Coturnix japonica: one gene and its partner. The protein of the gene in region 1 purifies or fractionates together with the protein of each later gene. This does not show direct contact. Links are inferred from orthologs where the notes say so. Each region holds a gene or a part of one and is shown on either strand. Other genes may lie near its edges.

Region 1 (11,571 bases):
GTATAGAGCCAGATTCTAGTCAGCAGTGCAGCCCCTGTCCGCCTCTCCAGCAGTGTGCAGGAGCTTCAGAGGGTCTGAAGCGACCACAGAAAGAATTTTCCCAGCTTGGGAACAGCATAGGGCCAATATATGCAACCATACACTGCACTGCCACGTTGCCACAGTGTAATAATGATGGGATAGGAGCAAAAATGAAACAGGGGAGGGAGGTACTTTAATGCTGTGGCTCTTATCACTGTGGTCCAGCTCTGAAGGCAGACCTGTACAGAGGAGGCTGGCCTGGAGACTGGAATTTGGGAGACATGATGCTTTATCACTTCTCCCTCTTTACACTCTGTCCTTCATCCTCATGAGAGCCACAGCTCAAAATCCAGCCCATTCCATTGTGTTCTTTAAATGCCAGTAAGGCCGCTAGTTACCAAAGCTGACAGAATTCAATGCATTTTTATCTATGCAATTCTTCCTAGAAACAAAAAGCATCTAGGCCTCTTCTGTCTTAAACTATAGGATTAGCTTAAGCAAATTATTTTAGCAATATATACAACTTTTATTAAAAACAAAAAGAACTTAAATAAAAAGAAGCACATATATGGGAGAAAACCCAAAGATTTAGTTTTATAATATCAGATATTTTATATTAGAAATTTTATATCAGTATACTAATACAATGTAATGAATTTTTTAAAAGACTTGCTTTGAAACTAGGCATTATTTGCTTATTTCTATCATAGTAGCAGTTAAAATAAGTAGTCCAATTCATTCACTTACAACCCAGCTGTTTCTTTGTTTGTGTACTTCTCCAAGATGAAGGATGCAAACACTTCCTCAATGGCAGGAATAAGACCAATGCTCTTAGGCACGTGGTTTAGCTCTTATATTGTCCTGTGTGGAGTCAGGAGTTGGACTCAATGATCTTCGTGGGTCTTTACCAACCCTGGATATTCTGTGATTCTAAATTCCTTCCATTCACCTCCTACAGGAGTGCCTCTCTTTCTCTATACTGGCTACCAAGGATCACCTAGGAAGACCAGCTGGCTAGCTCAGCTGCCTGCAGCTAGGTTGTGCATTGGGTTTTACATGTTATATACCACATTTTTATGCAATTGGGGTTTGCTTCCTTGAAAGATTCTTACTTTTATGTAACATTACAGACAGTGTTTCTATAATGTTTGAAAATAAATTCAGTTCCATAGTAAAAAATGGTACTTTGCGTTTATGCTGTATTCCTCATTTTATATTACAAGCGTGACAGTACTTTCCAAGAGATTTTGTGTGCGTCTATGAAATGACACCAGTACTTAGCTGTGATCGAGAAAGTTGCACAGATGAATTTAAAGATGAAAGCAGTAGACCACAGAATGAAAATAAATGCCAGAAGACTGTATTAAGGTGACAAAGAAGCACAATAACACACTTTCAGTAAGTGCTTTGTGACTCCCTTACACCGCTGCAGTTAATAACCCATTTCTGTAAAGCTGTTTAGAGCACTTAATTTCTGTTAGTGTTGCAACATGACAGATGATTACAGCACTGATGCTTTCCCCATCTTTCTAGTGCAATGACTCAACTTTTTTTTTTTTTTTTTTTTGTCTTTTAGTTGGGGAAAATTACTTTAAAACATCTCCTGTATTCTCCAGCAAAAATACTGCATTGTGCCACAAGAATGGTTTGAAAAGCTTTTAGCAACATGCTGGATTTGTCTGTTTGGGGTGGCTGCTCTCAAATACAGCAGTAGTTTAACAGATATTTCCATCTGGGCCGGATTCCAACACCCACCTTCACGCTGAGCATACCTTATTCAACAATTAGTTCCACTGACTGCAACTCAACATGAATAAGAGCAATGGAATCCGTTCTTCTCAGTATTAATACATAGCTCACTAAGTATGAATGGAGAAAAACTGCTAGTTGGGTTATTAGCTAGTGCCACATAGCTAGTACAGGCAATGTTTGATATACAACAGTCTTCTTTAAGATTTGCTAGCCTACAATACAGGAATTGGTTTCAAGCACTGAAGACCTTAAATGAATTCAAACAGAACAAGGAGCCCAACATTTAAACTTTTCAATGTAAGACTTACTTGCTGCTTCTTTTCCCCAGAAATACTGCCATATGTGCTTCTCAGAGACTCTTCTCATCTTTATCTTTGTACTTTTTCAGATTTTAGGCCTTTATTCTCTCTCTTCCAACATACTTTCTGGACTCTGCCTGAAGAGACAGTTCTATTAATTCTAGGTAATCTCACCATCAGCTGTTTTCCCAGTGTATCCTCTGAAAAAGAAAAAATCAGTTACTGTAGATAACCAAAGCTTTTCTTGTCCACGTGACGCTTGTGCTGTGAGGCATGTGTGTCTGTGATCTCTGTCAGCAGAACCCATCCACTGTGTACAGGATGATCCTCTCCATGCTTCGCAGTGCAGGAAGTACAACCTGCAACTCTCTTCTCAGCTTCATTTCAACCATGCCCTGACAAAATGAGATGTAGGATCAGTGTGAAACAAACAGGTATAAAGTCAACAGCATTTAAAGCAACTGTACAGATACTCTTCCACTGCTGAATGCTGTCATACATGTACTCCGTATCTGTTCTTACAAAGCAAAGCCCAAATTATCCAGAACAGTTGCAGAAACATCGCTGCAGTAAATATAGCATTCAAACTGGAAGCTCTGAAGAGACCTATTCTTTACTTAAAATTATGAGTCACAGCAACAGAGGCTTTGAAACAGGAATCAAAAATGGTGCATTTCTAAATGCTGCCATAAGAAATTCCTGTGGTTGTATGGAAAGGGAGATAGCTGCTGTCTGCAATCAGAGTGAGGAATTCACTTCAAGTCTCTTCAAGTGCCATATCCTTCCTCTTCTCTGGCCGCACAAAATTGAGAAGAGCATCTTGCAATACTATTCTTTGCAAAGACTTGTTTCTGGCCCATAACATCTATACGGACAAAACTATCCTTGGGCAAAATGCTAGAAAGACAATTTGAGTTTTGGTGCCAGCTGCAAGGAACGCATCCTCACAGAATCAGAGGCCAGAAGGGCCTGGAGATGATCTAGTCCAACCCCCTGCTAAAGCAAGTTGAAGCTGCTCAAGGGCAGCTTCACTGCAAGACAATTCTGAGCAGAACTCACCAGCTGGTCATGGCTTTCTCCTGACTTTTCCACTTAGGTGAGCTCATGCACTTCCGAGCATTCATAGGCAATTACTGGCAGACTCCCAGTATTGCCTGTCCAAGTCTCACCATCTGTTGCCACTCTGCCCAAATTAACCACTGCGCGTGCCAGTCCTCAAATGCCTTTTCCTGGGGTCAGATACAACCTAGATGCACACTCACAGTGGCAGATGACGCTGTAGCTTTAAGTAAATATTAGCAAAATTAGCATTTCCACTAATTAAACCAATGACCTGAGCAAAGTTCCATTGTTTTGAGTGGGTCAGCAAGGCCAGCACCAATGCTCGACAGCCAATGCACAGCTGTTAAACCATGCAATGTTTCTCATTTCTACTTGTTTTGTCTTATAGTATACAAAACATTGTTTTGAATACAAGTTATTTTTACTTTAGCTGTTCTATAAAGGTTAAAACAAACATTCTTGTTCTCTGCTTCCAGATCAAAGAGCCTCTATGATAACAGTGGAGTGTTTCCATGAGCTTGCTGCTCTGCCTCAGAACAGCTGGGAGATACACTTCTGCATGTGTAGGGCTGATCAATAGCTGCTCTGGATACAGTGAAAGAACAAACTTGTACAGAGCCCAAAACATCTACTTAAATAAATAAATAAATAAATCTTTGGGGTAATGACAGAATGTGACTAACAATTCTTACCTTTATCTAGACTCAATAAAAAACTGAATGACAGAACAACAGAAGAATCCGCTGTGGTGACAGCCCATCTGAGCTGCCACAGGCGTCGGGACCATGGACCCAACTGATGTTCCATCACCTTCTGAGATGCTCTCAGCTTTGCTGCAGAGCGAGCTTTGTCTTTGATTTTAAAGGAGTCCGAATGTCACCAGCATTTATAACTGCAGAACAGGAGATTAAAAGTGTCCATTAATCCCTTAATCATAAAGTTAATGAAATCACACAGCAGAAGTGCTGCAGTACTTCAGTACTGGAGAAAGACCTGAACTTTGCAGCTCAAGTGATATTCCAAACCCAGATTCCAGCAGCCTTGAGAGATGTTACCAAAGCCACACAACTCTTCCATATCCCCAACTCTGCCACAGCTTTCTGCCCAAGAAAGCTTATTGCACTCTTATTGCACAAGCAATTGGACTGCAGTGTGGTTACACGTGCGGCACAATGCCACTCGCGACGTAATGTCAATCTCTTCAAAGGCTTTGGAATTAAGGTAAGCTGAGCCTCGAGTTCAAAGGGGAACCTGAATCGCAAACGTACACATCTGAGCCGAGGTGCAAAGAGTCACTTACTGTAACTCAGGTGGGTCACAGCAGAACCACGGCCGCACGACTCAGCCCAGGAGCCGCGCGTTTCCCGCAGTCGCGGTGCCCCGTGCCTCAGGCCAAGCTCCGATAACCGTGCCCGAGCCCCGCCCGACCCCTCGCAGCTCCGGGGCACGACCCGTCGATGGCGGCACCCGTCCCCATCCTCACACCTCGTGGTGCGGGCGCTCCGCTGGGGTTCTGACAGAACAGCTCCCGAGCGGCGTCACGCGCCCGAGCGCCGTCAGAAAGCACGCGGCAGCAGCCCCGGCGCGTCGCTGCGGGGCGAAGGACGCGGCGCTCCGCGAGCCGCCCGTCGGGCCCGGAGCCTCTTCCCGCAGCTCCGACGGGGCGGTTCGCTCCCGTTCCCTCCGCTTTCCCCGAGCTCCGCCGACGGCCGCGGGCCGCTACTCCCCCCTGCAGGCGGCCGCGCCGCGCCGCAGCCCCGACCCCGTCGCTGTCCTCGCCCCGCCGCCCCGGCTCGTCGCGCCGTCCCCCGCTCCCGGCTCCGTCGCGGACGCCCCCGCCGTTACCGTGCGGCCGCGGCCGTCCCTCCGGCGAGCGGGGATCCGGCACCCGAGGGCCGCTCGGCCCTCCCCGCGCCGCCGCGCGCAACTCCCCCTTCCCCCCCGCAGGGGGCCGAGGCTCCGGGGGCTCCGTTAGCCGCGGCCCCCTCCCCGCCCCGCCGCGCCCCGCCCCGGCCCGCCGGGGGCTCCGGCATAAATACGGCCCCGAGCGGCGCTCCCGAGGCGGTGCGGCTGGGGAGGGGTCGGCGGTGGTGGTGGTGCCAGCAGTTACAACCCGCGCCGGTGGCCTCGCCTGGGACAGGGTGCGAGGACCCCACTCCCTGCCTGCCTTGCACAGACACCCTCGGGACCCCCCCGCGCCCCCCGACCACCCTCTCGCCCCGCTCCGCATTCCCGATCGCCCCCATGGACTTACTGGGCCCCATGGAAATGACGGAGGGCTCCCTCTGCTCCTTCGCGGCCGCTGACGACTTCTACGATGACCCGTGCTTCAACACATCGGACATGCACTTCTTCGAGGACCTGGACCCCCGGCTGGTGCACGTGGGTGGGCTGCTGAAGCCTGAGGAGCACCCGCACCACCACGGGCACCACCACGGGCACCCACACGAGGAGGAGCATGTGCGGGCACCCAGTGGGCACCATCAGGCCGGCCGCTGCCTGCTGTGGGCATGCAAGGCCTGCAAGAGGAAAACCACCAATGCTGACCGCCGCAAAGCCGCCACCATGAGGGAACGGCGGCGGCTCAGCAAGGTCAATGAAGCCTTCGAGACCCTCAAGCGCTGTACCTCCACCAACCCCAACCAGCGTCTGCCCAAGGTGGAGATCCTGAGGAACGCCATCCGCTACATCGAGAGCCTGCAGGCCCTGCTGCGCGAGCAGGAGGATGCGTACTACCCAGTGCTGGAGCACTACAGCGGGGAGTCAGATGCCTCCAGCCCTCGCTCCAACTGCTCCGATGGCATGGTGAGTGCCCTGGGCAGGAGATGAGGTCCTTCCTCCTCATAGTTCAGCAGCAGAGGGAAGCAGGGTCCCCACACGCCAGGTCTCTGGGAAGAGAAGGGAAGTCTGTTAGATTCCTGGGAGGAAGGTTAGGCAGTCCCTGTGTGCCTGCAAACACAATGGCCTCCAGGCACCTCTGATTTCATGCTCTGCTGTCTGTCCCTCAAAGGACAGCAGTGAGGCAGGTCCCCTTGGGTGTGGAAATTGCAGGGGAAAACGTGCAGGGCAACTGGTCAAGCATAGTGTTTGCTTTCTATCATTCATCGGGATAACAGGAGGATGGCCCAAGTAACAGGAGTTGTTTTCCTTGACCCTTAAGAAGGCCAGCTCTCCTCTCACTTGACCCCTCTGCAGACATTTACCAGCAAGAAAAAGAGTCCAGGCTTAGAGCCTTGGGTTATGGGGAGGGGACAAGGGTGGCTGCAGGACTGTTGCCGAGAACAGGACCACAAGGACACTTCTGCATTTTTTTTTCTAGTGGGGATAATAATCACTGAGCTGAGTTCTTGGGACTGTGAAATAGTTGGCAGGTGGGAGAGAGTTACAGAAAGATCCGCTCCTCAAAATGCAGCCTTTTCATTGTAGATTCACATACTGAACAGAAATATATTGGTCAGGATTTGGCGGTCTTTCTTTACAAAACCAGAGTAAGAAGGGAAACTGCAGGAAATCCAAAGGTAGAGTAGCGGCTTTCTCAGAGGAACTCAGGTTTGGAAAAGTCTTCCAAAGTTAGATCAAAAGAATTCCTCTCCTGAGCTTCCTTTCCTAAACTGACCATACACGTAGGGCAGTACTGATGAGTTTGCTGGAAAACCTCATCTCTGGTAAAGCCACAGCTTCTGTCATAGCAATGGTGGTAATTTGCCTTTGGAACAAGCATGGATTTACACATTCTGGTGTAAATCCATTCCTTTTTTTTTTTTTTGGCAAGTTAATTCTGTCTGCTTCATTCTACAACACAAACTTGACAGCATTTCAGCTGAGAGCGATTGCACAGATTAGCTACTGAAATACAAGATCAGATGGTTCCTGGACCTGTGGAAAAGGCAGCCCTCCAGCCTCACTCAGATTATTCTCCTTTCCAGATGGAGTACAGCGGGCCGCCTTGCAGCTCTCGCAGGAGAAACAGTTATGACAGCAGCTACTACACAGAATCACCAAATGGTGAGTATCTACTGTTGAGAATATGTCTATGTGAAGCACGGAGGATGGGGTCAGCCATTGCCGTAGCCTCCCCATGGCCTTCTCCATCCCCAGTCACTTAGCCAGGCTGGGGAAGGAGCCTGCCTGTCCAGCCAGTGAGCTGCTGAGGCTGGCAGAAGCACTGGATTTCATGTAAATGTATTTGCAAGTGCAGGGGATATGTTATATCTGCATTTCCCATTTTACAAATAGAGTGTCTAGGAACACATCCTTCTCTGCTGCTGATTTTTAGTCTTAACCCCATTTTGCCTGAAGCCTGTTCTAACCAGGTATCATTGATCCAAACTGGAGAGATGCCTGATGGAATTCCAGTCTTCCATTCCTTTTCTGAGGACTGAAGTAGAGCCCTGGATCCACCCTCCCTGAATAGCAGCCTGTTTCACTTGGGTCTCTCCTCTGTTTCACAGATTGCAATCCATTTCCTGATAACTGGCATCCTTCACTCATACCCATTTCCTCTGATTCTTTGCATGCTCTCAGATGTGCACTTCAGCCACTTAGTGGGCTTTTCATTTCTTTATGAAAGAACTACATCCTATGATATAAGTACACAGTGGGTAAATGGATCACATTTGCCTTTGTTTTCAGACCCAAAGCATGGGAAGAGTTCTGTTGTTTCCAGCCTCGACTGCCTTTCAAGTATTGTGGAGAGGATTTCCACAGACAACTCCACATGTCCCATACTGCCTCCAGCTGAAGCTGTTGCTGAAGGGAGTCCCTGTTCCCCCCAGGAAGGAGCAAGCCTGAATGACAGTGGAGCCCAGATTCCTTCCCCCACCAACTGCACCCCGCTTCCCCAGGACAGCAGCAGCAGCAGCAATCCAATCTACCAAGTGCTATAAAGGCAGGTCCAGCCGGACTGCGCCGAGAACAAATTGCTCCGTTCAACCATGCTCCAAGACCTGCTTTCTAAAACAGAAAGGACTTCATGGCTTGTTCCAGTTTGAAAGTATCATGCAAAATTCCTTCTATAACTTCTCAAACCTGTATTACTGCAAAATACACTTAGTTATTTATTGGTTGTTAAACTGAAGTTATTTAATATGTCTAAAGATAAAAGCATATACGGGGAAATGGCCAATGTTTAATCTGGGCTTTGGAGAATAGGAACCTGGCTCTTGAATATGGAGGAGAAGAGAAATCTACAACAGCTGTGGCATGACAGATCCTTCTTCTTATTACCCCTGTTCTGGCCAAAATAAGGTTGTGGACCATTTTTTATAAAACTTTTTGTATAATTGTAAATAAGAGTTGCTTTGCAAAAAAAAAAAAAAAAAAAAAAAAAAAAAAAAAAAAAAAAAAAAAAAAAGGAGAGAAAAAGGGAAAAAATGAAACAAAAGCTAAAATTAAAAACAAAACAAAAATAGGAAAAATTTTAAAAATATATATTTAATGTTGCTTGGTTTGTTGTGCCAAACTTTAACTTTATATATTTATACGATGTGATTGCCAAGAATGTTTTCAACAGTATTCTAAATAAAGACCCTTATTTATAAAATCTGTGGCATTATCTTGACTTTCATTAGAGCCTCTAGAGTTACTGGTGCATTTAGGAGCAGTGTTAAGATCGCTGCCTTGGCAGGAAGAAGATACAGGCTCTGATTCAGCAAAGAAATCAAGTGCTTGCTTCAGCTGCGCTACATTCAGTTACTTTGTGCAAAGGCATTGCTGAAAAGGGGTCGACTTTCTTCCTGTGGTATCCCAGTGAGTTCTGAACCAAGTCTTATGTGTCAGTGGTCTTCACTAAGAATGTCTGTGAGGTAAATTAAGCATATTTGTCTTGTTCCCCCAAGTTCACTATTACATGACTAGAGCTTACAAAGCTGTGATAGAAGTGGGAGTCCTAATAAATTAGACTCTCGAGATTCCATTGTAGCTACTATAAATTAAATTATAAGTTAAAGCCTTACGATGACATTTTGCAAGATCAGGTACTACATTCCCAATCAAATATACAGATTTTCCATTCAAGATGTAATTTTAAGTGCCTATACCATATTCATATACACTCAGGTACTAGAAAAGACTTAGAAGTAGCTTTCTGTCACAAAGTTCAAGGTACAGATCAGAGTTTTCCTCAAGTTCAGGTTGGAATTTAAGCCCAAGATTGGCAGTTTTAATTTGGATTTGAACTTTAAGCATCTCTGGCAGCACTGCTCCAGGGATTTGCTTCTTGTTTAGAGCCTTTCTAAAAATAACTGGTGGGGTATGTTTCATTCAGTGTATACATGTAACCTTGCAAGCTTGCCACAAAACTGAAAAACATGAAGCTCTAAGCAGATTGTCATTGATAAGAAAGTATCAGGGTGTATGTGTACATTTGGACTAGAACAGCCAGTTGCTGGAGCCCACACACAACAACCTGCTCCTTGTCACATTGCTGTGGTTCTTGTTTAAAGAACAGTCAAACAAATAAACAACAGATACCATCATCAGCTCTAAACATTTGATGACAGATCAGTCACTGTATTCTCCCTTAGGTGATTAGTACTGAAGGAATTTGTGCAGCTTGTACCTCTTCAACAGGAGGAGCAGCTCCTCAAAGAGAGAAGCAACTCATGGGCTCCCTCGTGGTGTGCAGTGGTGACCACGGTGGATGATGAATGAGGGCACAGAGGACACAGGGCTGCTGTGCAGGCATGTTGAACTTGGCTGGTCATAGAGGCTGGGGCAGGACTGCCCCCTCAGCACCTTAGCTAACATCCAGCTTTGTAAGGGTCTCCTGTTGGCTTTGCTGTGGGCAGAAAACAAAGTCCAGCTTTGCTGTGGGCAGAAAACAAAGTCCAGCTTGTAAATGTTCAGCTTTTCCTTTTTTTATTCCCCTTATTGGCGTTCATTCCCCACCCCCACCCCCTTCCCCCCCAAAACTAAGAATTAAATGAATTTCGGTGTTATAATTCATACAAGCATGAATCAGGAGCAACTGCTAAGACCAGAAAAAAGTCCCACTTTAGTCTAACTGGAGGCAGTGTCAATAACTCACAAAAACTAAGGAAACACAGTCAGATCCTCACAAATCAAAGCTTCCCATACAGGTGATAATTCCATTGCCTCTAGCAAACAATCAGGCCCATGCACAAAAGCTGCTTTTGAGAAGTACTACAGACCTTGCCATCCCCCTGCTCTGAGGCAGGTGGAAGTGTCATTACTTCAAATGTACAGCCATAGTAATGGCAATCAAAAAACATTTTGCTGGATCAGGAGCTAAGAAGACTCAACTAAGAAGACCCTTAACACAAAGCTCTCCCTTGCCTCACTGTGAGACCCCACGGGGCACAATAGGAAGCACCCTGGGTCCAGCTGGCATGGCACAGTGGACACAGAGTGCTTGTGCTCAACAATGTACATGCAGTTCTATGTGAAGTCATGTATATTGCATTTCACTGATTTATTTTAGCAACCCAAGTTTCCACATACTGATGTTAATGTTACAACAGAGAGCAAGCATTTAGCACATCCCAAAATAGATGGATGGATAAAGAAGAAAAAAATATTCCTAGATTTACTGTGCAGAGCCCATCTTTTCCCCACTGATGTCAGTGAGAGAAATCCACTGGAGTAAGGCCAAGGTGCATCAGTGCTGATAAACATACCTTTAAATCACAGCTGTATTTATTTTTCAACTTAAGTAAGAAAAATGTGTGCATTTTTTCCTGTCTATTTCTGAGGTGGTATATTTAAAATAAATGCCTTACTCTATGCATCAAGGGGATGGCACATTGCTGACACAGCCCTGCCACATGGAAACATTTCAAAGGTGGACATCATTTGGATTCAGAGCTTTGCTTCGGTGGTGACATGGGACACAGGCAGAGCAGAGGAATGGGCACAAGGCTGACCCAACATTTGCAGACACTGCTTCTTAAATCGGGTTGATCCCAACAACCATCCCAGTTGGGATCATGTAGGGATCATCCTGCAAGACAGACTGCAGTCCAGCTTGGCCTACAGGAATGCACAAGCATGCACCACACACACCAATAGTCTGAAGTCATCAATTTATACTATAATTCTGAATCAGTGTGCTGCAGGATGGGAACGATATTATCTTATTATATATTATTTCCCAAATTACAATTGAAACTGATACAGAAATGTGCACACACTAAAAATCCAATTTTAGGTATAAGAGAAATATGAGCTATTCCTGATAAATATTTTTTCTTCTTGAAATATTTTATCATCTGTATCCAACACTATTAAATAAATATGAAGTGGGTATTTGCCTTGTACCAGTGCTGCTCTTTCAGAAGAGTGTTATTTCAAACACAAGACAAAGACTTGGTAGGCATTGCTGAATGTGAAAGGGAAAAGAGTTTTCATTTTACAGATTGCATTTTGCAGAGATATTTAAAAGGGTCAAATACTGCAAAGGGGACAGCTTGCTCACTCT
Region 2 (11,403 bases), on another chromosome or scaffold:
AACAAACAAACAAAAAAGAATGAATATTAGTTTAGGGAAGCAAGATTTGATCCTTTCCATACAGACATTGAACAAACATTAAACTATGTAAATTACTGATATATTACAATGCTCATTATTAATTGCCTTAAACCATACCGCAGTGAAAACTGATATGCACAAAAAAAAAACAACCCACAAACCTTGGCACAAGCGTTTTGAGAAATTCTTTTCCAAGTGAAAGCAATTTTGCAGAAGCTCACCACACAATGTTTATGGCAAAGCCTAAAAATCTATAAACAGTGAGTAACTACACAAACTTTAGTGTCACACGATAATTAACAGCAAAGATGCAAACAAACAGATGTATGAATGGCGATAACAGCTCAGTTAAGCTGCCAAAAATAAATATCAACCCACGCACAGCAGAATAAAAACAGTGTGTTCAGTGGCAGATCTTTTTCAGCCCTTGGTAGCATTTCCTTGCCAGATACTTTGAAGCAGATGTTAATTTGTATTGTCTGAATTACTCCAGAGATCTTTCTCTAACAACTCAGGGTGTTGGTTGCTTCTTTTTTTTTATTTTTTTTTTTCCCTTTATTCTCTCTGTAAAACACCAGAATCATCATAAAAGTTCTGTTAACTAACAGGGAACGTAGCCCAGAAGGGTCCTCTTTAAAACTAAGCCTTCATTGTAGATGTTGACAGTGCAAGTATTTTGCACTGAATATTCAATGTGCATTCCTCAGTGACTTCAATTGCAGAGTGGTTTCAAGTCTTCCACTGTATTCTGTTAATTCAGTCCTTTCCCTGACTATCTTCAGCTTTTTAGTTTTCTTCTTTTTTTTTTTTTTTTTTTTTTTTTTTTTCACTCATCTGCTTTTCATTTGAAAATAATGTATGACTTCACCTCCACAAAAACTTCATTTAAGATCAAAAGAGTTAGGGAGTGAGAAGGGGGGAGTGGGGGAAGGAGGAAGGAAAAGAAGCATTTAAGCTGCACATCCAGTCCTCGGGTCTTGTTTTCTGGGACATCTGCCGAGCTCTGATAAAGACACTGCAGAAAGATGGGCACTTCTGCTTACTGAGGCCTACAAAGTCACCTGCATCGTCCTGCCAGGCCCAAGGATGACCACAGCATCTTAATTGGCATTTTTAAATACAATAACCACACACTCCCCCCAAATCCAGTGCGGAAATTACGTACATTTTGAACTGAAAAGTGATGTATTTTCAATCAATTTTTTAGATTCCTTCCATGTTAGACATAATGGGAAAAACTGAATAGTGCAATAGCTCAAGGCCATGAAAACAGCACCTCTGGACAAATTAAAGTTACCATTTCCTTTAAAATACCCAATATACCCATGTCAGGTCCAAAAGTCCAAAATGGATCTTGAAAGGTAACATTAATGTCATTCGAAAGAAGTGCCTTTGGAAGTTACAGCATTGCACTCCCCAGGCCCTGTTAGGAAGCTGTTATTATTTAATTATGATGGCTAAATGAGTGAGCACTGTTACAATACCTTATTGCCTAAAAAATCTATCCTCTTTTGGAGTTGTGAAACAGGCACAGGAAGGCAAGCTTCAAGCTAACTTAACTACAAAGTGAAAGACTTCAGCAGCCTTAAAACTGAATTTCACAGCAGCTGTTGCTCTGGGCTCTCTTCAGCTCCAAACCACGCAGCCTGCCCTGCCCAGTAACCAAAAAGCCAAGCTCACTCAGCACACTGCAGATACACAGAACTGTGGCTCTTGTTTCCAGCACGTACAATTGCTCCAGAAAAACTACTTTTCCTCCCAGCACAAAAGCCGAGCAGAAAAACCTAATGTAACAAGCTGCCTCCTACAACAATAATCTCAAATTGTTGCTGTAACAAAGAACACCACACAAACCACAACAAAAACCTGGATGAAATTTAAATGCCTATTTTTCCTACTCTGGTGTACAGCACCCAGCAACCAGGCAGTCAGATGCTGCTCACAGATCTACTCTATGCAACAGGAAAGCAGCCAACCCATTTGCCTTTAACAGTACAAAGTAAACAGTTTGATGATCAGCTCTAAGCACATTATTCCTCTGTAGATCAGTCCAGGTTTTTTATGTCACATTTTTTGTTCTGGTTTCTCTCACCTACAGGATAGATGTAGGCTACTGTATAAAGGTTTTTATTAAAAACAGGGATTCATTTCCCACCTGGTGACGTTAATGGTAGATCTCGTGTTTGATTTAAATGAAGATGCTTTAAGTCAGACTTTAGTAGTCACAAAACATATTCATCTCACTTCACAAACAATCATAAGGAAGGTTTGGGTTTCCTGTATAGTCTCCTCAGTTTCTCCAGAAAACAACAGCACAGAGATCCAGATCACACTTCAGACTCTGCCACTCCTGGGGCCTTGACCAAATCCCCTCACAGCCCTGCTCATGATGTTTCGGTTATTTAAAGCGCGGGGTCTTTATGGAGGTGTTATTCCCTGCTGCTTGTGCAAATGCCTTAAGTGATAGGGCTCTAATTACATTAACAAGCATCTAGGTATTACTGCAACATACGCTGTGAGAAATAACCAATTGCACAGAAAATCTAGCTTACTAAAATAGCACCTATTTCAACATATTTTTAAAGAAAAACTCCCAGTGGGACTGGAAAGAAAGTTATGTTTTCACAAACCAATAGTGTGAAAAAAAATAAAAAGACTTCCTCCTTCATCTTCATTAAACATATTGATGTGTGTAAGCGACACAGTGCCGCTTTTATGGAAAGTGCTGCAAACTCATGTATCCAATGCTGAATTTCACACCGGGCAAAACCAAAACGATGTATGCGGTCATTCATATGTGTGCAGATATAGTGACTGCCAAATGCAAAATGCTGCGCAAATACAGCTCTACTGTGTACTTCTAAAAGTCACGGATACTCTGCCAACTCCTTACATATCTCTTATTGTTCAGAATGCACATTCTTCCCACACAGACTCGGGCATTTAAAAGGCTGTTTTACACAGAAGAGTCTGTTCTTGCCCTTCTACCCCGAGCTTTTTATTTCACAGGAGAAAAGTCAAGCAGTGAAGCTCCATGGTGACCACTCTCCTGCCTCAATTCCTTAGCAGGAAAACAAAAACAAACCACTCAAACAAAAACAAGCAAACATGTATTTGCAGTCCCAGGACAGGGCAGCAGATCCCTAACCTCAGTTCTCACTCAGCTCAGCAGTACTTGCAGCCTTCTCTCCAGCATGGCACCTTTCCTCCCCCACCCCAGGCATTCTCCCAGCCACTGACATCTCTCCATCTTCTCACGCTGCTGCTCACCCCAGCAAACCCACGGTCTTTGCCATTCCCTGCATCTCTGGGGGTTAAGCTTGTAATACACTTTGTGTGCTGAAGTAGCAGCAATGTGGGGTGAATTTTACTTAGGCAAAGGTTGTTAACACTAAGGAAACTGTCACACATTTTCTGCCCTCCAACTTATACAGCTCTACATAGACCTGCAGATCAACATGGCTGCTACCACAGAAACCTCATTCAGAGATAGGCTGTTTGAGCTTTCACACGCACACAGAACAAGTGGAACAGGAGTTGCAACCCAGAGTAAGAAAAAGCTCAATGTTCCACTCTGTGCTGCTACAGACTCTTGTATGCCCAAGCAGTTTGGAGCCAGGTGTTCAGGAAGAAAAACAACACATCCTTCCACCCAGCTTCATCCTCTCCCTGTCCCACAGGAGAAAGCACTTGATGAGTTTACAAGGGTGTCTCATTGTTGATGTTCTGAGACCCGAAGGAATGTTGTCTGCCAGTACATTCCCGAAGGAAAGTTAGGTAGCAGAGGCCAGGTTTGCACTGGAATGCGCATAGGGAGTCACACTGAGTACTGTGCTGTGCCTGCTTACTGACAAGGGATGAGGATGAAGCCCAGGGTACTCCAGCCCCACACCCAGGTCCACCAGACAGCACCAAGTGGGCCTCCCTGCAGGACCCTTGGGATAATACAGACACCCCTGCAGGGCACGAGTAGGTGAGTGATCACTGTGCCACCAGCAGCCTGGGAGAGGTTTGGCAGGGCTGGCATCAGGCCCTGCCCTCCCTGAAACACCCACCTCTCCTCCAGCGCACAGGGGCTGCTGAGGCACAGAGTGCAGAGACACTGTTTCATCGCACTAGGAAAGCTTCAAACCACGTTCCCCCACCTTCCAAGAGAGGAGCAGGTTTCCAGACTGGCTGGTTTTAACTGACTGACACAGTGTAACCTCACATCATGCCGTGGACTCAACCAGGCCAAAGCAAAGACGCTTACACATTGGTGAACTGCAGAGACATTGAGGCACGTGGCTTTCTGAGCTTGCCCTCAAATGACAGTATTGCGACATGGCTCCAGCAGACAGCAAGCTCTTCACATCACCAAGCAGGGCAGCGGACCTGCACAGGGATGCTCCCTCGCGTCAGTGGGCATTTAGTTGGGATATTCACTTCATGCCTTCTTGGAAATCCCAAAGTAAGGGAACAGAAAGAACAGAAACACACTTTTCCAGCAAACTGCTCAATTATTTTCAGCACCGAGAGCATTACTGGAGTGTTTTGCATCAGCGCTGCCAACCGGAGCGTGTCAGCTCGCTGCGCATCCAGGAATCGCCCTGACAGCCCCGGCGCGGCCTGCGCTGAGCCCTGCACCGCACACGCACCGATACCGCTCCCGCTGTCACAGAGCCCCGGGGCAGCACAGCTCTAACCGCTCTCCGCACCCGCACAGAACAGGCAGGTCGCGGCCCCCCCGCGTCCATAAGCGGGCTGCAGGTGTAGGGACGGGCGTGTTACGGAGCACAGCGCAGGGCGGCAGCGCCCAACGCAGGGCGGTGTAGGAGGCCGGGGCAGGGCGCGGCGGAGGGCAGGGCCCCGTCGGGCGCTACGTGACGGCGGGGCCGCAACTTTCCCTTGGGCGGAGGCTGCACGCCGCCGTTCCCGAGGCTCCGGGGGCAGCGGGACCCGAGGCTCTGCCGGACCCGCCGTTTCCGCGGGGAGCGCCGGGCTAACAGCCGCGCTGCCTCCCGCCCGGCCCGGCACTGCCTTCCCCTCCCTCCGTCAATCCCCACCCTCCGTGGGCGGGTGGGCGCTCGCGGCCGGGTACCTTGCAGGCGGAGTAGACGCCCAGCTTCTCCAGCTTCTTGGCCCGCGGAGCTGCGCGCAGCTGAGCCTTCTTCCCGGCCGTGCGCGCCGAGCCAGGCCCCCCGGGGCTTTCGGCGGCGCTACGAGCCGGGCCCCCGGCGGCGGAGGCGGCGGCCACCCCCCCGGCTGCCGGGGAGCCCTGCTGAGGCCCGCCGCCTCCCGCCGCACCGGCCGCGGCCCCGCCGCCCGCCTCCGCCATGCCCGCGGCGCGGCGGCTGCCGCCCGCCCGTCCGGCCGGCCGGCGCGGTGCGCCCGGCCCTAGACCCTCCCCTTCGCCGCGCCGCCGCCGCCGGCTGCTCCCCGGGGGGGCGGGAGGAGGGCCCCGGCGCTCCGCGGGCGGCTCCTGTCCCGCCGGGCGGGGGGAGCCGGTGCCCGCCTCCCGCTGCTGAGAAGCGCGGAGTTGAGCGGTGGCGGGCGGCGGCCACAGGCGCCGAGTGTGGGCCCGACCCCAGGGGCTGAGGAGCCCGGCAAAGGGGCGGCAGCGCCGCTTCACCGGCGGAGCCCACGCGCCTCCCTTGCCCCTCGTAGGGCCACGGTTTGTTTGACTTCAGCGGTGCTTTTCCACGCTTTGCACTTTGCGGCTGCTTTTCAACGGGTTTGTAGGTGATTTCCAAGTCAGTCTATACATATCTGTAAGTTTATTTTAAGCGTAAAACTCAAAGATCCTCTGCTCCGTTCCCTGCATGGTCCAGGAACGTCTCGTTTTGGTCCCGGACCGAGTGTTGACAGCGGGTCATCCTATGTCTATTGCCTTTTAATTGAAAGCAACAATTAAGCAAGTGATCCCACAGCAGTAACTGCGCTGAGCGCGCAGGAGTCCCGAGGAAGTTACGCTCTGTCGCACGTATGTAAAATCGCGGTCGAGCCGTGAGAAACCGCAAATGGCACTAACACAGCGGGGCACCACGGCTTAAAAGGTCGGGATTGAGGCTGGGCTCTGGTGTGCGATCCGCAGCTCTTTGATGTGTCAACCTCGGGCTGCAATACCGAGAGGGAGGGGGATCCCGGTGCGTGTAAAACGTGCACTTGTAAAAAAGAAATAGCAGCTCCCGATTTCTGCACCTGCCCCGTTCCGTTCCCTGCCCGGCGTTAAAGCTGCCCCGGAGCCTGGCAGATGTGACAGCGACCCGTAAGATGGCTGCTGCCATCCCCGCTGCTTTAAGACGGTCTGTTAAGGTGGAGAAGCCGCTACGCTCGGAGGCGAAGGGAAACGCAGCCCCTGGCTGAGCAGATGATTAACGGGAATAAAAAGAATGAACCGAGTCGCTTCTGTTAAATCTGAGGATTCTTTGTTGTTACTGGAAGTGGTCGGATCGCTTTTAAAGAATGACAAACAGCCGCTGTATGATAACAACCACTGAAGAACGGTTTCCTCAGCCTCTCCGCTCGCGTTCTTTTATGTCGGCGACGTTTCCACTTCCCCCCCCCCCCCCGACTTGAAAATGAAACTATTACCGCGCAGTTTCACTTTCAGCTTTACCCCGCTCCGCTTTAGTGACGACCGAGCAGATCCTCCGAAACAATAATTGGCTCCGAGCGGCCGGGGGGGGCCGCTGAGGGACACGGGCTGCTGGGCTTGACGGGAGCTGCTGGAGCCGTTCCACGGTTCATAGCATTTATGTAACCCACTATCATTTGCACGCCCTTGTACAAATGAATTCCCCGTTTCAATTCTCAACATGCGTTTACTATTTTTGTGATGGGAGATTCCACCAACACGTGTTAGGCCCTTTAGATCTGCAGCTGCACAGGCAAGTGTTTGCAGGATCATTCCACAGGTGAATGAACTTATTCTTCTCACTCTTTTCAAGGTTCTTAAAAGCCCAGTAAGTTTTTACTTCCACTGAAACAAAACATTTCACAGTGTGTTTATGAGGGTCTATTGCAAAACCGCATTGCACAGCTGCATGATGATTAGTATAAAGGCAAAACTCAATTTTCCTACAGTTCCTCCTTGAAGCCTCAAGAGCACGTCTGCCTTACACCATAACTCTGCTTTTTACCTTCTGCTTGCCAGATAACCAGAGCGCTAAGTCTACCAGAACAGTAAGTCTACCAGACTGTGGCTACGGATACAGTTACTATAGTAACATTTATAAACACCAATGTCACTACAAATGCAGCGTTGCCCGCTATCATGATGAAGCAACATAAAAGAAAACACACTTAAACTGAAGATAGGTAAGTCCTCTTTATACATATGTATACACAGAGAGAGAGAGACATAAAGAACTGTGACATCTATTAAATCATTGTTTCCATCTAACTTGTGCTATTATGTTTTTTAAAACAAAACAAGCCCTAAGGATTTGCCTTAAACTGCTCCAGGGTCAGTTAAAATTTCAGCAAGAATGGCCAAAGGTATGAAGAAAAGATAATTTGCTGGCTAGAAACATAGGGTAGAGCATGGGCTGAGCTGCCTTGTAGTAGCTTCAGGAATAACAAGTCACACTACACTGGAAAAGCAGAAGAAATTGTGCTTTGACGTATGACAGTATACACGCCATTCTCAGTTTCATATATTTGAGTTTTTCTGTTGACTGAATTCACAAGCAAGTGCGTCTTTATTTCCCATTTATAACATACACATAGCTCAATCTGAGCACCACAGAATGGCTGCAGTGCTTATTTTCAATCAGTAAGTATGTAATACGAAGATATTAACTTAGAATCAAACTCAAAGCATTGTCTTAAAAATCCTTGCTACATCTTTCAGTTTCCATCCTTTGGGGCATTTCAGTGGGCTTGCTCAAGAGAAGCCAAGCTTGGAAGTAGCTCCCAACAAGGAGCAGTGGCAGCCAGGTGAGCCCAGCTGCCTCCTACTCAGCTTATGAGCTCAGGTGGGCAGCCCTGTGACTCTTGAAGATCTGATCATCTGCTCCACAGACAGCCAGGAGCTGGGCACTGTCCACACCAGATCCCACACTCTTCAGGTTCATTTCAGTCTGCTGTTGCCCCAGGGAAGCTCTGCTCACAGCTGAGGCTCCCATCCCTCATCACATCCACAGTATGCCTGGACTCACTGTGAACACCAGGCAAGCTTATATGCAGAAGTGCACACACTATTCTAGCAAAGGAGATGACTGTATTCCTAATGCCAGAACAGGAAAAATAATAACAATAATAATGAAGCTTAGGGTGTGCCTGATACCTGCTCATCTGGAGCTTTTGGGGCCTACCTAGGCCACGTAAATGACTCAACTAATAATAGCCTGATATATAGCAATCCGAGGAGCCTCCCTGCCCAGGGCCCAGCTCCATGAGCCCACCCACCGCAGCTCCCAGCCCAGGCAGAGCCCTGTGCCCAACCCACACCTCTCTCCCTCCCTCCCTTCTTGCTCATAATGGGACTCCTCCTGCTGTCCCACCTATTTTATTCATGAATTCAATGCATATGGAGAAAGGGGAAATCTTCCCCTTCCAGTGAATTGCTCAGAGTATATAAACCAATTGTGTTCTTTCATTAGCACATTCTTAGTGCACGAAGCAGCCTCCTCTTGGAGCAGGCATTCTGGGCTGCTATCGATATTTTATGAGTCACTGGAAGTAGCAACAGCACAACAGTTTCGTTCATTATAATGTCTCCAGCAGCTTGTCAACTTCCCATGGTGCTTACTTGCAACTTTAATAATGCCGATTACAAAACTTACCAGTAGGCCTTTGTTAAAGAGAACATCACACCCCAATTACTCAATTTTCTTTCTTTTTTTTTTTTTTTCAAGGAAAAGAAATAGAGAAAAAGAATGGAGAATATGTCAGTGCAACAACCGTGGCTGTTTGTGTTGCTAAAACTTCTTGACAGAGCTGAAGCACTTTGCTATTTTTATTCACTTCTTACCCAAGTGTACTCTTTGGGGCCACAGCCAGTTTTGAAAGGCACAAATCAGGGCGAAGCTGGCAGCTTCACTTACCACAGTCTTTGTCCACACTTTACAGCCCCACATTGTGTTGTTATGAGGTGGCAAAATCTACCTTACTTCATGCAAGCACAGGATGCATCATCTATTTCTCCTTCACCTCCTCTTCCTTCTGCCTCCCTATTTTTTTTTTTGTTTGTTTTGTTTACTCCATCCTCTTAACATCCTTTTCTCTGCTCCTCTGCTTCTCTCCTGTGAGACAGAGAGCTCTGCAGTTTACTGGGGCTCTTTTCCCAACCACCCCCCACTAGGAGCAGGCCCACTGGCAGTGGTGGTATCATCCATCCCTGATATCTTGACACAGCCCCAACTCTGTCATCATGTGGCCTCACTCCTCCAAGCTGAACCCTTAAGGTCACACCAATCCAAACAGAGATGCCACAAAGAGAAAAACCCTTTTATATCCATAAGATGATTGTTACAGTAGGCCTCTGGTGGGTAACAGACTGGCACCTCTGCCCCACCACAACAAGTCCAGCTACCACCATCAGGTGCAGGATACCTGTGGTAGAGGAAGTTTATTTAACTCCCACTTCAAAGGCTTGTCTCTCGGTGAAGAGCCTTTATCTGGGAGGACAGAGTCACAAAAGGCAGTTCTAAAAGAACCTAATGCAGGAAGCAGTATTATGTCAGCTTGAAACAAGTGGGGCTGGAATCCCACGGTTCCAGTTTTGGACAACATGAAGAGGTAAGGAGGCCAATTTACCTTAATTTATTCCATAATTACTTTAATTATTAATCACTTCCTTCTTTCTTGCCTATTATCAGGGCCAGTGCAGGGAGTGCTCCCAAGCCCCAGTACAGCATGTGACTCACTGGGTTCATCTCCATCACTTCCCACCTTTCACAACAGGGCTGCCGTGGAGCTATGCTGTTGCTGCTGGAGACACAGTAAGTCAGATGCTGTGCTGACTTAGGCTGACACACCTAGGAGAAGATGCATGGTTCTTCCTGCAGAAGGTTTTGGAGGCCCAGCCCTCCTAAACCTGGAGGAAGATATAGGACACAGCTGCTTTGTCTTCTCAGATAAAGGGTTTTTAAGAGGATGTATATGCATTCAATAAAGCTACAAAAGTGTTTTCCTGCTAGATATACGCTTGCGGCTGCTCTGGCTAAAGAAGACCACATGAAAAAGAGCCCAAGTAAACGTGTGGTCTGCTGGCAGCACCTGCCAGGACAGGGTGTGGTTTGCAAAGAAGCATAGGACTGTGCCACAGACAAAACTACAGCTGCAGCAGCTGCTCACACTGGCTCCTCACATCACACAGTCCCAATGATGCCAAGAGTCCCTGTCACAGTTTCAGTATGCAGGTTTGAGGAACTCACCTGTTCAAGGAAGACTGGCAGCAGAGCCTCCTGTTTATACACATTAGATGGTAAAATCATGATTACAAGCTCAGTGAAACAACAATCTCCATACAAATCTTCTTTGCCTCCTCCTGTCACCCTCAGGCCTGCAGGCACCTTCCTGGCACAGCTCTCAGCATCCATGAGTTTTCTAAGGCCACTGACACATAGCTAGTTGTAACAGTAATACAGAGTTCATGAAGGAAGGAGTTTTCAGCTAGATACTAAGTTAATTGCTGACTGTGACAAAGGTAGGACAGGAAGAAGCATGCTCTGGGTGGAGACATGAATGACATGTCAGAAGGAGATGAAGACACATGGGACTCTTCTGGAGGCAAATCAAATCCTGGATCATTAAATCTCCATGAGCAACACCTTCACTACTTAAAAAAAGAAACAAAAAAACAAACACCACTCTGCAGGGCAAAACTGAAGGAAAAAAAGTAGTTTCCTTGCTGTGTGATCAGCAAGCATCTGGAAGTGCCAGAGCTACTGGGTGCTGCCAGAAATAGGGTTACTGAGATAATGGTGCTCTGTCACACAAGCTCATGGCCACAGCTATGTGCTCTGCCTCTGTTTGGCCTCTTCCCTTGCATTTGGCAGTGGATGGGCAAGCAGAGCAGCAGGACAGCTTACCTTTGTTGGAACCAGACTGAGAGCTGACCAAGACATTCTTAGCTGGAACACAATGAGTAGAGAAAATATTTACCCTTGAAAACAAGTAATCTCAAAAAGTGCTTTCCTGTCTATTCTATTTTTTTTTTTCTTCTCTGCACTTCTATTTTTAGCTCAGAACATTAAACACTGCCAGGTTAGGGCCCCCTAAATAGGCAGAGGGAAACTGCAGCGAGCTAGAAAACTGTTTTCTCTTTCCCTCTCTGAGGCTACTAGAGCATAAGCTTCCTATATTGTAATGGCAATATCTCACTGCTATCCTTTAAACCTACAGCAATATATTTGCAAGTCTGTTTCTGGTGAGGGAAAAGCAAGGAGAGAAGAC

The links.
Region 2: the proteins of MYOD1 (region 1) and KAT2B purify together in Homo sapiens (affinity purification with western blotting; 4 studies listed by BioGRID and IntAct, with this or other methods). This does not show direct contact. The link is inferred for Coturnix japonica from reciprocal best matches to the Homo sapiens genes MYOD1 and KAT2B.

What each region holds. Positions count from the first base shown.
Region 1 is NC_029520.1:16,193,579-16,205,149, forward strand, and holds MYOD1 (myoblast determination protein 1 homolog), read left to right. Parts: upstream 1-5,206; 5' UTR 5,207-5,378; coding exon 5,379-5,939; intron 5,940-7,060; coding exon 7,061-7,139; intron 7,140-7,766; coding exon 7,767-8,020; 3' UTR 8,021-8,461; downstream 8,462-11,571. Other genes in the region: uncharacterized protein LOC107314671, read right to left, coding at 2,082-2,139; ferritin light chain-like, read left to right, coding at 1-218. UniProt on the Homo sapiens protein: Acts as a transcriptional activator that promotes transcription of muscle-specific target genes and plays a role in muscle differentiation. Together with MYF5 and MYOG, co-occupies muscle-specific gene promoter core region during myogenesis.
Region 2 is NC_029517.1:32,844,466-32,855,868, reverse strand, and holds the start of KAT2B (histone acetyltransferase KAT2B), read right to left. Parts: upstream 5,339-11,403; coding exon 5,102-5,338; intron 1-5,101. Other genes in the region: PP2D1 (protein phosphatase 2C-like domain-containing protein 1), read left to right, coding at 9,925-9,947. UniProt on the Homo sapiens protein: Functions as a histone acetyltransferase (HAT) to promote transcriptional activation. Has significant histone acetyltransferase activity with core histones (H3 and H4), and also with nucleosome core particles.